2 linked regions of the Neodiprion lecontei genome follow. Each later gene encodes a partner of the first gene's protein in a complex. Links are inferred from orthologs where the notes say so. Each region holds a gene or a part of one and is shown on either strand. Other genes may lie near its edges.

Region 1 (5,026 bases):
TTCAAATTTTGTATGAATTACGTATATTTTGTTATTTTCAGAGCTTGTTTTCACGGATATCATAAGACAGATGCACAGGTAAGCCAGCCACCTCCAGTTGTCAGCCACTTACAAATTTAGTCCAAAATAATATCGATACTATGCTTAATTTAAACAAAATTTGTATGCTTTTGTGATTTGTAATCTTTGCTAAGATAGATGTGACTTATATTTTGTACAACAATCTGTACTGCAAAAAATAATACATTAAGCATTAAGGGTGGGAGAAGAACATTGCGTAGCAGGTTGTGTCATACGCAGTAGTTCGGATGGAAAAAAAAAAACTTGTTTGATTGCACATCGAAAGCCTTGAACTTGAAGAAAGCCGCCTGATCATTCCATTCATCATTATTTAAATTCATATTGTATAGTTATATTGGAGGAACAAATTATTTCGGTCCGTTTTTTTCGCTCAAAAAATGCATTTATTTCAAAAGATAATGAATTAACAAATTAATCAAAATATTGTCCATCACTGCTTACAACTTTTCCCCACCTCTCAGGCAATTTCGGAATCCCGTGTAAGAAAAACTTCTCGTCTTTTGCGGCAATCCCAATTTTGAAGCCAATTTTCGATTTCTTCGAAACAAGTGAAGCGGTGACCTGCCAAATCGTGTTGCATCCGTCGAAACAGTCCGTAGTCAGAAGGAGTAATGTCCGGAGAATGTGGCGCGTGCGGTAAGAAATCCCATTTGTTCGTTTCTAAATATTTTTTGACAACTTTTGCGACATGAGGCCGAGCGTTGTCATGCAAAAAACTTTATCATGTCTTTCCTTATATTCCGGTCGTTTTTCTCGTAATGCACGGTTCAAACGAAGTAATTATAGTCTCGTTTTGCGTTTGACTCGGATCTTCATTGAGTAATGCCTGTAATTCATCGTCTACGAATTTCAGCTGTCCCGAGCGAGGTCTATCTTCAACGCTGAAATCACCACTTTTGAAGCGCCAAAACCATTCTCTACGTGACTTGTCAGTTGGAGCATTGTCACCGTAAACTTTCACAAGCATACGATGAGCTTTAGCTGAACTTTTTTTCCAATTAAAACAAAAAATTAAAACTTCCCACAAATGGTGTTCAGTTATCAAAAAAAGTGACATTTTCAACAGCGTAACAAAAAACGTTTTATATGAAACTCACAACAATACAAACTGGATGTTATCGGCAGGTGTCCAATTTGTCTAAAACCAGGGCAATCAGCTGTTACTACTTAAAAATTGAATGTTTTTAGAGCCACGTTTATAGATCCATCTTTTGAGAACGGACCGAATTAATTTGTGCCCCCAATACATAAATTGTGTGTTGAAAATTACGGTATGCAAAGATGACCAACTATCGGCGCATCTACCCTACTGAAAAAAACGAAAATAATTGTTAACGTTCTTCAGCAATGCAAATACGTTACATGTGTCCGGCATTCCTTTAAGTAAAATTTAAAGTATCACAGAAACCTTGAAAATAATTAATCCAAGGTGGTGTTTCGAGTTGCAACTTGGAGTAACACAGCTTGAGTATTTGTTTGTGAAATAATTGGTTCAACAATTTGTAAACCAGCGAAAGTGGATTACATTTTAATGAATTGGAGTTTCTTTTGTCGTTCTATGGCCAATAGTTTTTTTAAAATCGTATTACCCGATACTTGGTCTGTGATGACAAATCAATTGTTCTGTACAATCATTTTTCATCATGGGATTAAATTCCTAACTTAACGAAGCATTTAAAAGAAAAACTATTATTTCATAACCTGAGCATTTCCCAGGAATTCATAAGCCGCATTGAAGCAAAACTTTTTCATATTTTGGAAACTTAATTCCTTTAGAAGTTATTTTGAAATAGTAAAATATTAACTTTTGTCTCAATGTTTCATCACGATAACATGACTAACTTCGACCTCGTGCCCTTATGCTATTATAATAATTTTGAAATTTGTATTTAGTAGAGCAGTTGTATAATGCAGGTTATGAAAAAAAAATCTCGATATTAGTAGGACTAATAATTGGTAGATACAAGATACGGAATACAGTCGATTCAAACAGCATGGTAAAAACTCATTTCGTTAGAAATTTATTAGTGGTCAAAATATTGTATTTTTAGAAAAAGTTTGTAGGATCAGTAATGCATCCCCTTTACTATGTACATAAGGTTACGTATTTCCACAGTTATCAAACTGCAGATCTTCACAAAAGCTGACCATAACTTGCATATGAGACCGAAATTTGTAACATTTGGATAACCAAATAATGTCGAAAGAAAAATTACCATTCTATAGCTTCGGTATATCTTTGAAGGACTTGAATGGGCAAAACATGAGTGAATTGATGCTCCATTACAGTTTACCGGATTTCAGACCATCCTCAAATTGCGAAATAGCAATTATCAAAATCGCATGGTCACATTGACGTTACGAGTTTCAATCTCACATAATCCGATGGTATCGCAGTGGTCTCTAAGCTAGTATGGGGCGAGTTATAACAGGTGACACCGGTGACATTAATCGTGACAAAGAATGCAATGGATATGTGACGATATCGAGATTGACAATAATAAGGTTTTAGGATATCTATAGATCTTCGTCAAGCCAATAATTTTAAAATGGATTATTTGTCGAGGGAATACGACTTGACATTGAAAAATGCACGTTAAATTAGAAAGACTTACATGCAGGTTCATCCATGCTGATGTAAGAGCGAAACAAACGAACAATCCAAACGTCATAAAGCTAACACTAACACTCCACAACGGAACACTCTGCGTTCTATGGAGCGAATAAGAAGATCATAAAATCATAATCTACACCACAGATCAGGAGGGAAGCAGAAAATATGATTTATAAAACACGTGGCTGCTAAGAGCCGAGCAACTGCACCGACGTGTAAACAAAATTTCACAACCTACTACAGTAAAATTAGCGGGAAAATTGCCGCAAGGTGCCAACCACTGAAAAAGATGGTAAGAATACTACCAACACTCATTACACTGTTAAGATGGAAAAAGAAAGATCTGCCTCCTGACGGGTCAAGTTAAAACTAATAAGAGAAGCAGGTAGAAAACAGGTCAATATTATACCTATACTTAGGCCGTCATTGACACCCAAATAAATTGATTTCTTTTTAATTCTTTGTTGGTCGTTTGTTGATGTTTGATGATGTATTCCCATGTCTGATAGTCAATGGTTTAGTCGTTATTACTAAAACAAATTTAGCTAGAGAATTCAAGTCGTTGACGGAGGACCTTATAAAGGTTTCTCTCTGGTTAGAACATGTATGGGTGCCTTCCATTTACTGACTCAAATCGACTTGTGTCGCTATTTCTGGTGTAACCGGCCAATCTGGGCAAAGGAATACACCAGAAATAGCGACACAAGTCGACTTGAGTCAGTAAATGGAAAGCACCCAACGTATATGGGTGCTATTTCATGAGCAGTAAAAGGCAGCAGCAGCAGCAGTTTTCCCCTATCACTTCCGGCGCAAGTTTCTGCTGCTCGCAGTTTAGTTTTTCGAGCGACAAGCCACAAGATCACAAGAACAGTCGACCTATTTCATGAGCAGCGCTGCTGCTGCGTAAAATTACCAGACTGATGCTAGTGAAAACTACTAAGTTACTAAACCACTGCTGCTTTTTACTGCTCATGAAGGCCGTGTTCGTAAATTGACTGCCAGTACTAAAAATTCCCTAGGACAGAGACAGAGCTGTTCATGAACTCGGCAGCGCAAAATAGGTGAAAGATGGCTGACAGTACTGTCAGTCAATTTTCGAACACGGCCGAAATAGCACCCTATGGCCGTGTTCGTAAATTGACTGACAGTACTGAAAATTCCCTAGGACAGAATCAGAGCTATTCACGAACTTGGAAGGGCAAAAGAGATAAAAGATTGCCGACAGTACTGTCAGTCAATTTTCGAACACGGCCTATATGTACAGGATCAAGGTCCCTAGATTAGACAGGTCAAGACACGCATGGTCAAAATAATTAGTGAGAATGCGCCAAAAGTTTCGTATGACAATAGATGGTTTCCATTTAGAGCACAATATGACACGGTGTAAACATTTCTGGTCTATTTCTTTGCCCGGGTTGGCCGCTTACAATAGAAATTTGTACACTGTGTCACACTGTGCTCTAAATGGAAAGCACCCGGTGTGGTTCTGATTCCTGACCTGTCACAATGATTAACCTCAAAATATATACGTGCTTCTATTTATTTCGTGAACGTCAGGACACGAAGGGCGCAACTCGTTAATGCTGAACCTCAAAAAATTGAGCAAGATTGGTCAAAACTGGTTAATGCGGTAATGTAAATTTGATATTTTTTGGGCGAACGCGCATAGAACATTTTTGCCCACGTTATAGTGAGAAAAACTGGAACACACGTGTCTTGACCTGTCTAATCTAGGGACCTTGTACAGGATAAGCCAGCAGTGCTGCCAGTGCTGCCGCGTAAGAGAATCTTGCAACAGCCAATCATTGCTCAGCTTACCAGAGAAATTCAGAAAGCATCATAACAATACGATTCTTCGGTTCTTCCCAACAATGCATCGAGAGGATGCGTAAAACATCCTAAGCATCATAAGCATCATCTAGCGAGCCCAATGAAAAATCAAATTTTAATTAACTGTGTGAAAAATGTCAGCAATTCTGAAGGAAAAATCCGGATGTATAACCGAAGAGCAAAAAACTGCTAAATCGGTAGCGTCTGAAAGTGAGAATAAACATATTGCTTGAATTAATTCAAGACCTAGTGCAATACCTCTCGCAATATTTATATCTACTTCATTATTTTGTTAGTTACCCGTGTTCATTTCCGGGTATATTAGAGAAAATAATTCTTTTACTGGTCATTTTTCATATTTTCTGCTAAATTATTTCGTGCTGCTGGTTGCGCAAACGACGCGCAAACGATTGGCACCACAATGTATCTGAAATTCTATTAGTCTTTCGCATGATATCATTTTCAAAATCCGGGTGCTGAAATTCAGCATCCTAACTTTAC
Region 2 (4,486 bases), on another chromosome or scaffold:
GCGCCGATGGCTGTGTTTAAATGAAATTGATGAACTTTTCATAACAATTGAGAGATAGTAGAGTATTAAATGGATTACTTTATCTTACATAGAAAACAATTTTTCTATAGCTGTCGCAACACAGATCAAAATCAACATTTAAATGAAATGGAATTGTTTGCGAGTAAGCATATTTATTTATTAAATATGCTTATTATATTTATTCAAGCTTGATAGTTACGAGAAATTTGATACGAAAAAAACCACTACTTTGCATAAATAAAAATTAATCTTACATACCGCAAAACAAATAAAACATATCCAGAAGAGCGAATCAGACAATCTGTCGGCTGGGAAGCCAGACATGATTCTGTTTAATTTTATTAGCCATACTGCAGAGTAACGTACATTGTATAATGGCTTATAAAGCTTCTATGGATTCTTTTACGCATAACTAAAATTCTCTTCAACAGCCACTTGGTTGTACACTTTAAAATAAACCTGGCTTCTTTGAAATAAATCAGTATTCATTATTGATTGTGAGCGGTTCAGATGCGTTTATAGTAATCTATTAAACTGTTGCGAAAGAGCAATTCAAAATCATTCATAAACGTATTAAACGTACTTATTTCTTTTATTTTTCATTTGTAAGCGAAACTTATTGATTACTTAAAATTAAAACACGAGTTTCATCTTATAGTTCACAGTTATTGGTTTGCATTACTAAAACTCCATCAACATATCTGCAACATAAAATGACATTTATACAATAATAATATATTATATCAGTCACAAAAGATACGAGAAAATAAAAAATTACCACTCTGCAAAATCTTCTGTCCTTTTGAAGCATCTTCCAAATTCCTTAAAAATTCTTGAAAAACATGAACAGATTTGTTCAAGCTAGTTTTTTTATAGTCCTTGATTTTTCTCCTAGTGTTTGATTCTTGGATAGAGTCTTCTTTGGCGTCGAATGCATTGATTTCCTCGATTAGCAAGTTTATCGTTGGTACAGTTAACGGGTTAAATTTACCAATAGCTTTTGGGCTAAACGGCACACTGACTTTACCCGATTTTGGATGAATACAGAACGGCGATTTCAAAAGATGGTTCATTCCCTTGGTCACGTTAATATCCAATCTCGGATACGCGTACTGGATCATTATTTCCTCCAGAAGATGATTCAGACGCCATTTTTTACCCTTTAAAGAAGATGAAAGTTGGAAATGAGTTTTTTTAATAACATCAAGAAAATTGAAGATACTACATTGTACAAAATGTAATCATCCTACCGTTTGTTTCTCGACTTGGTAGCAGGCAGTGAAGGCCTCCCAACGCTCAACACTAGATGTATGTTTTTTGAATAAATCCTTGACCTGGGATCTTAAACTATCGTCAAGAATAAGTGGTAAGAATTTGGCAACACCTTCTTCTGTTCCGAGCATATTCTGCTCCTCGACGCACATTGATACGAACAGTGGTTCTATAATATTTAGTGCACGTCTGTAAGATATAAAATGAATAAACATCTGATCTAACAGATTCTTGAATGCAAATCACAAATGGAAGAATCAAGAACTCATAAGCATCCAAAACGGATTACACGCTGACCTCACAGAATGGTGTAATTTTGGGCCAGGAAAGTTGACTTTCTTGGCTTTTAGTTCTCCACCAGTAATAAGCTGTAAGTATTCGGCAACGCAGCCGCGGGTCATCGAATTCAACTCGCGAGCTGATTTATCGCACACCCAGCAATGTATACCTCTTCTTCCAGAAAATACCCACAATAGATGCTCAAAGCCAAAATCCTCTGATATTAAATTTCAAGTTTTAGGTATTTATCACTTCAAGTTTCAAATCATTTTACATTAGTCATTGACAGTGCTTTACCTCTAAGTGCGGAGTCCAATATCTGGCAGGCAATCACCATGTACTTCCAGCATTTTGTACATATGTCGGCGCCTGAACAGCAGCTTCGAACATCGTCATAATCCGTCATATCTATATCAAAAACAAGTTCTCTTTCTACCGGCAGAAAACTTGAAAATTTCTTCTCATCTTTTGGGCTAAAGAGAAGTCGATCAATACATCGATTATTATTTCTACTGACGTAAAAAAAAAACAAATACTGGAAAATTCCGGATAAAAATAATGGAAGATTGAAGAATTTTTGGTTTTGGAATTATGAGACTGGAGAGCTTGAGTAAAAAACGAATCTGACAACGAGCAGGCATAATTTGAATTGTTGAATTTAAATAATAAGTAGACCAAGGTATTTCGGTTCTTACCATATATTGTATATCGCACCGATATCAATTTTAAACGGCAAGAGTCGTCTGCATTCCAGTTGTAGTTCATCTTGATTAACGAAGGAACGATATCGTATGTAGACGTCATCTCTTACGGTGAAAGAAAATTCTCTGCGTGAAAAGACGCTGGCTGAAAAGAAAAGGATGTACCGCCATTGATAAGACTTTGGATTAAAATTAAAAGAAAGACCAACAAATTTCCCTCCTACAGAAATAATAAGCCTGCGGCTAAAATTGACAAGTTAACTTACGATCACCGTAGCTCAGCCACCTGTAGTAGTCGTGAAACGGAAAAAGCCGCTGATAGTAAAGAGGCAAAAGATCTATCAGATTCTCTATTCCCTCGGTTGACATCCTTTTAGGTTAGGCGCGTTTATTGCACGGTCGTATCGAATCTTTTCTTCTGCATTCAATCAGCAGTTTACTCACGATATCATTCAATCACAGGACTGAAAATTAAACTCCGTCAAAATTCTTTCGCACGTTCACGAACACTGCCACAAATTAAATACACAACAGGATTACAAATGTTACAATGTGTACACGCAATTTGACAGAATTATTTTCGCGCCAATTCCTAGCAGGTTTTTCGACCTGAACGCGATCTGTCAATCACAATCTTAACTGTTACGAATTGTCGACTCGTAATTGGCTCGATTCAGATGAATGATCCATTTGCGCCAATCAGAGATCACAACTTTCGCCCTCAAAAGCAGCTGACTTTACCTTCATTAATCCCTGGCAGGCACATCCAACCGTTCATGTCAAATATCTCACATATTAAAATTATAATTGCTATCTATGGCCAAGTAACTGTTTTAAATTATCATAAAACAAAATATATTTATAATAGTACAGTGTATTTTAAGCTTACTTTCTTTACACAATGCGGATGCATCCACAGACGTAATTGGATAATAACTGCATATTTTGACAACAAGGTCACATTGTAGTACGACGTATTTATGTTTATACGTATTTTGGATATGAACAGTGCGTGTAATTCTATGAATAAAATATATCATATCACCAAAGCGTCGGTACTTTGCCATAAATCATTTCAATCGTAATTACACGTTTTTTACACCTTACCTCGTAAACTCAGGCTACATCAATTTCGCTAATCGTATTCGACTCCCTTCAAAAAAATGTCAAATTTTTTTGAGTACAGTATGGGTACGGCGATATTTTATAGGTCACGAATTAATATTTATACGTATTTATAAGTTTGATGCAGGAGTTGTTCAAAACAGCTTGTTTACATTTTCGGTAAAATAGCGATTCAATATTTTATTCAACACACCGAGATTCGCCGATAAACAGCAAATTAGGTGTGTTCTTCAATCACCTACCAGTCTAAATGCGACTTACCGAATTCATATTTCATTACTGCTGTCATTTATAATGCCCCTCGTCTCTCGTGAGTGGATTTTGAACGATGATTACAAATTTTACTCACATATAAAAGTTGACCCTAAGCTTTCGCGGCATGATGAAGTTGGGGCAAAATCAGATGGAACTCTCTGGTGGATACTGGAACGCAAAAATGGGTTGTCCTGTGTTTCTAAAATCAAAGAATACTTTCAAATTTGCACGTACGACCATGGTATGAAACTTGACACATGCATCAAAGACAAAGCAGTTACCCAAGGTTTAATCAAGTTTGTGACTTAACAAAATCACGTTCGATGCTTGGAAAGAAGAATTAAATATTTAATATTACTGCGCAATGAAGTTTTTGGTGGTAAAAACATTGTGCTTTCAAATACTATTTTGTCAAGTACACAGTTTAACCAAATCAGTGAGAGGTCAAACATTGATCGTGAAAAATTTGAACAATATATTGGAATTGTTTTTTGTCGATTTGTTGAAACACTATGTGGAAAAAAGCGAGCCTCGACATATAACAATTGTCGGAGCATCCGCCAATGATCGCAGTAAAGCTCAATCGCTGCTCAACTTTTATCCTTACATTATGTGTACAAATATGGAAAAATGTGCTTTCTTGGAAAGGTTCAGCGAAAGAACTCTTGTAATTGTATTTTTGAACAAATTCAGCGAAAAGAAGTTCCGAAAGAACGTCGATATTCTCTCACGGTGTCAAACATGCCACGTCCTCTTCGTATCCAGCACGATCATGCCGGTTAATAATATTCGGTCGATTTTCATCTGGGCTCATGAGCATAATATGCCATACA

What was found. The genes of interacting proteins can lie anywhere in the genome.
Region 2: DNA polymerase alpha catalytic subunit (region 1) and DNA primase small subunit share a complex: the UniProt entries of both Drosophila melanogaster proteins name them as parts of the alpha DNA polymerase complex. The link is inferred for Neodiprion lecontei from reciprocal best matches to the Drosophila melanogaster genes PolA1 and Prim1.

What each region holds. Positions count from the first base shown.
Region 1 is NC_060264.1:15,990,447-15,995,472, reverse strand, and holds the start of DNA polymerase alpha catalytic subunit, read right to left. Parts: upstream 3,002-5,026; 5' UTR 2,713-3,001; coding exon 2,697-2,712; intron 1-2,696. UniProt on the Drosophila melanogaster protein: Catalytic subunit of the DNA polymerase alpha complex (also known as the alpha DNA polymerase-primase complex) which plays an essential role in the initiation of DNA synthesis.
Region 2 is NC_060261.1:38,830,869-38,835,354, forward strand, and holds DNA primase small subunit, read right to left. Parts: upstream 2,894-4,486; 5' UTR 2,643-2,893; coding exon 2,540-2,642; intron 2,419-2,539; coding exon 2,268-2,418; intron 2,046-2,267; coding exon 1,870-2,045; intron 1,790-1,869; coding exon 1,591-1,789; intron 1,483-1,590; coding exon 1,272-1,482; intron 1,182-1,271; coding exon 800-1,181; intron 723-799; coding exon 703-722; 3' UTR 600-702; downstream 1-599. Other genes in the region: uncharacterized protein LOC107219690, read right to left, coding at 1-10, 280-298; uncharacterized protein LOC124293032, read left to right, coding at 4,276-4,486. UniProt on the Drosophila melanogaster protein: Catalytic subunit of the DNA primase complex and component of the DNA polymerase alpha complex (also known as the alpha DNA polymerase-primase complex) which play an essential role in the initiation of DNA synthesis.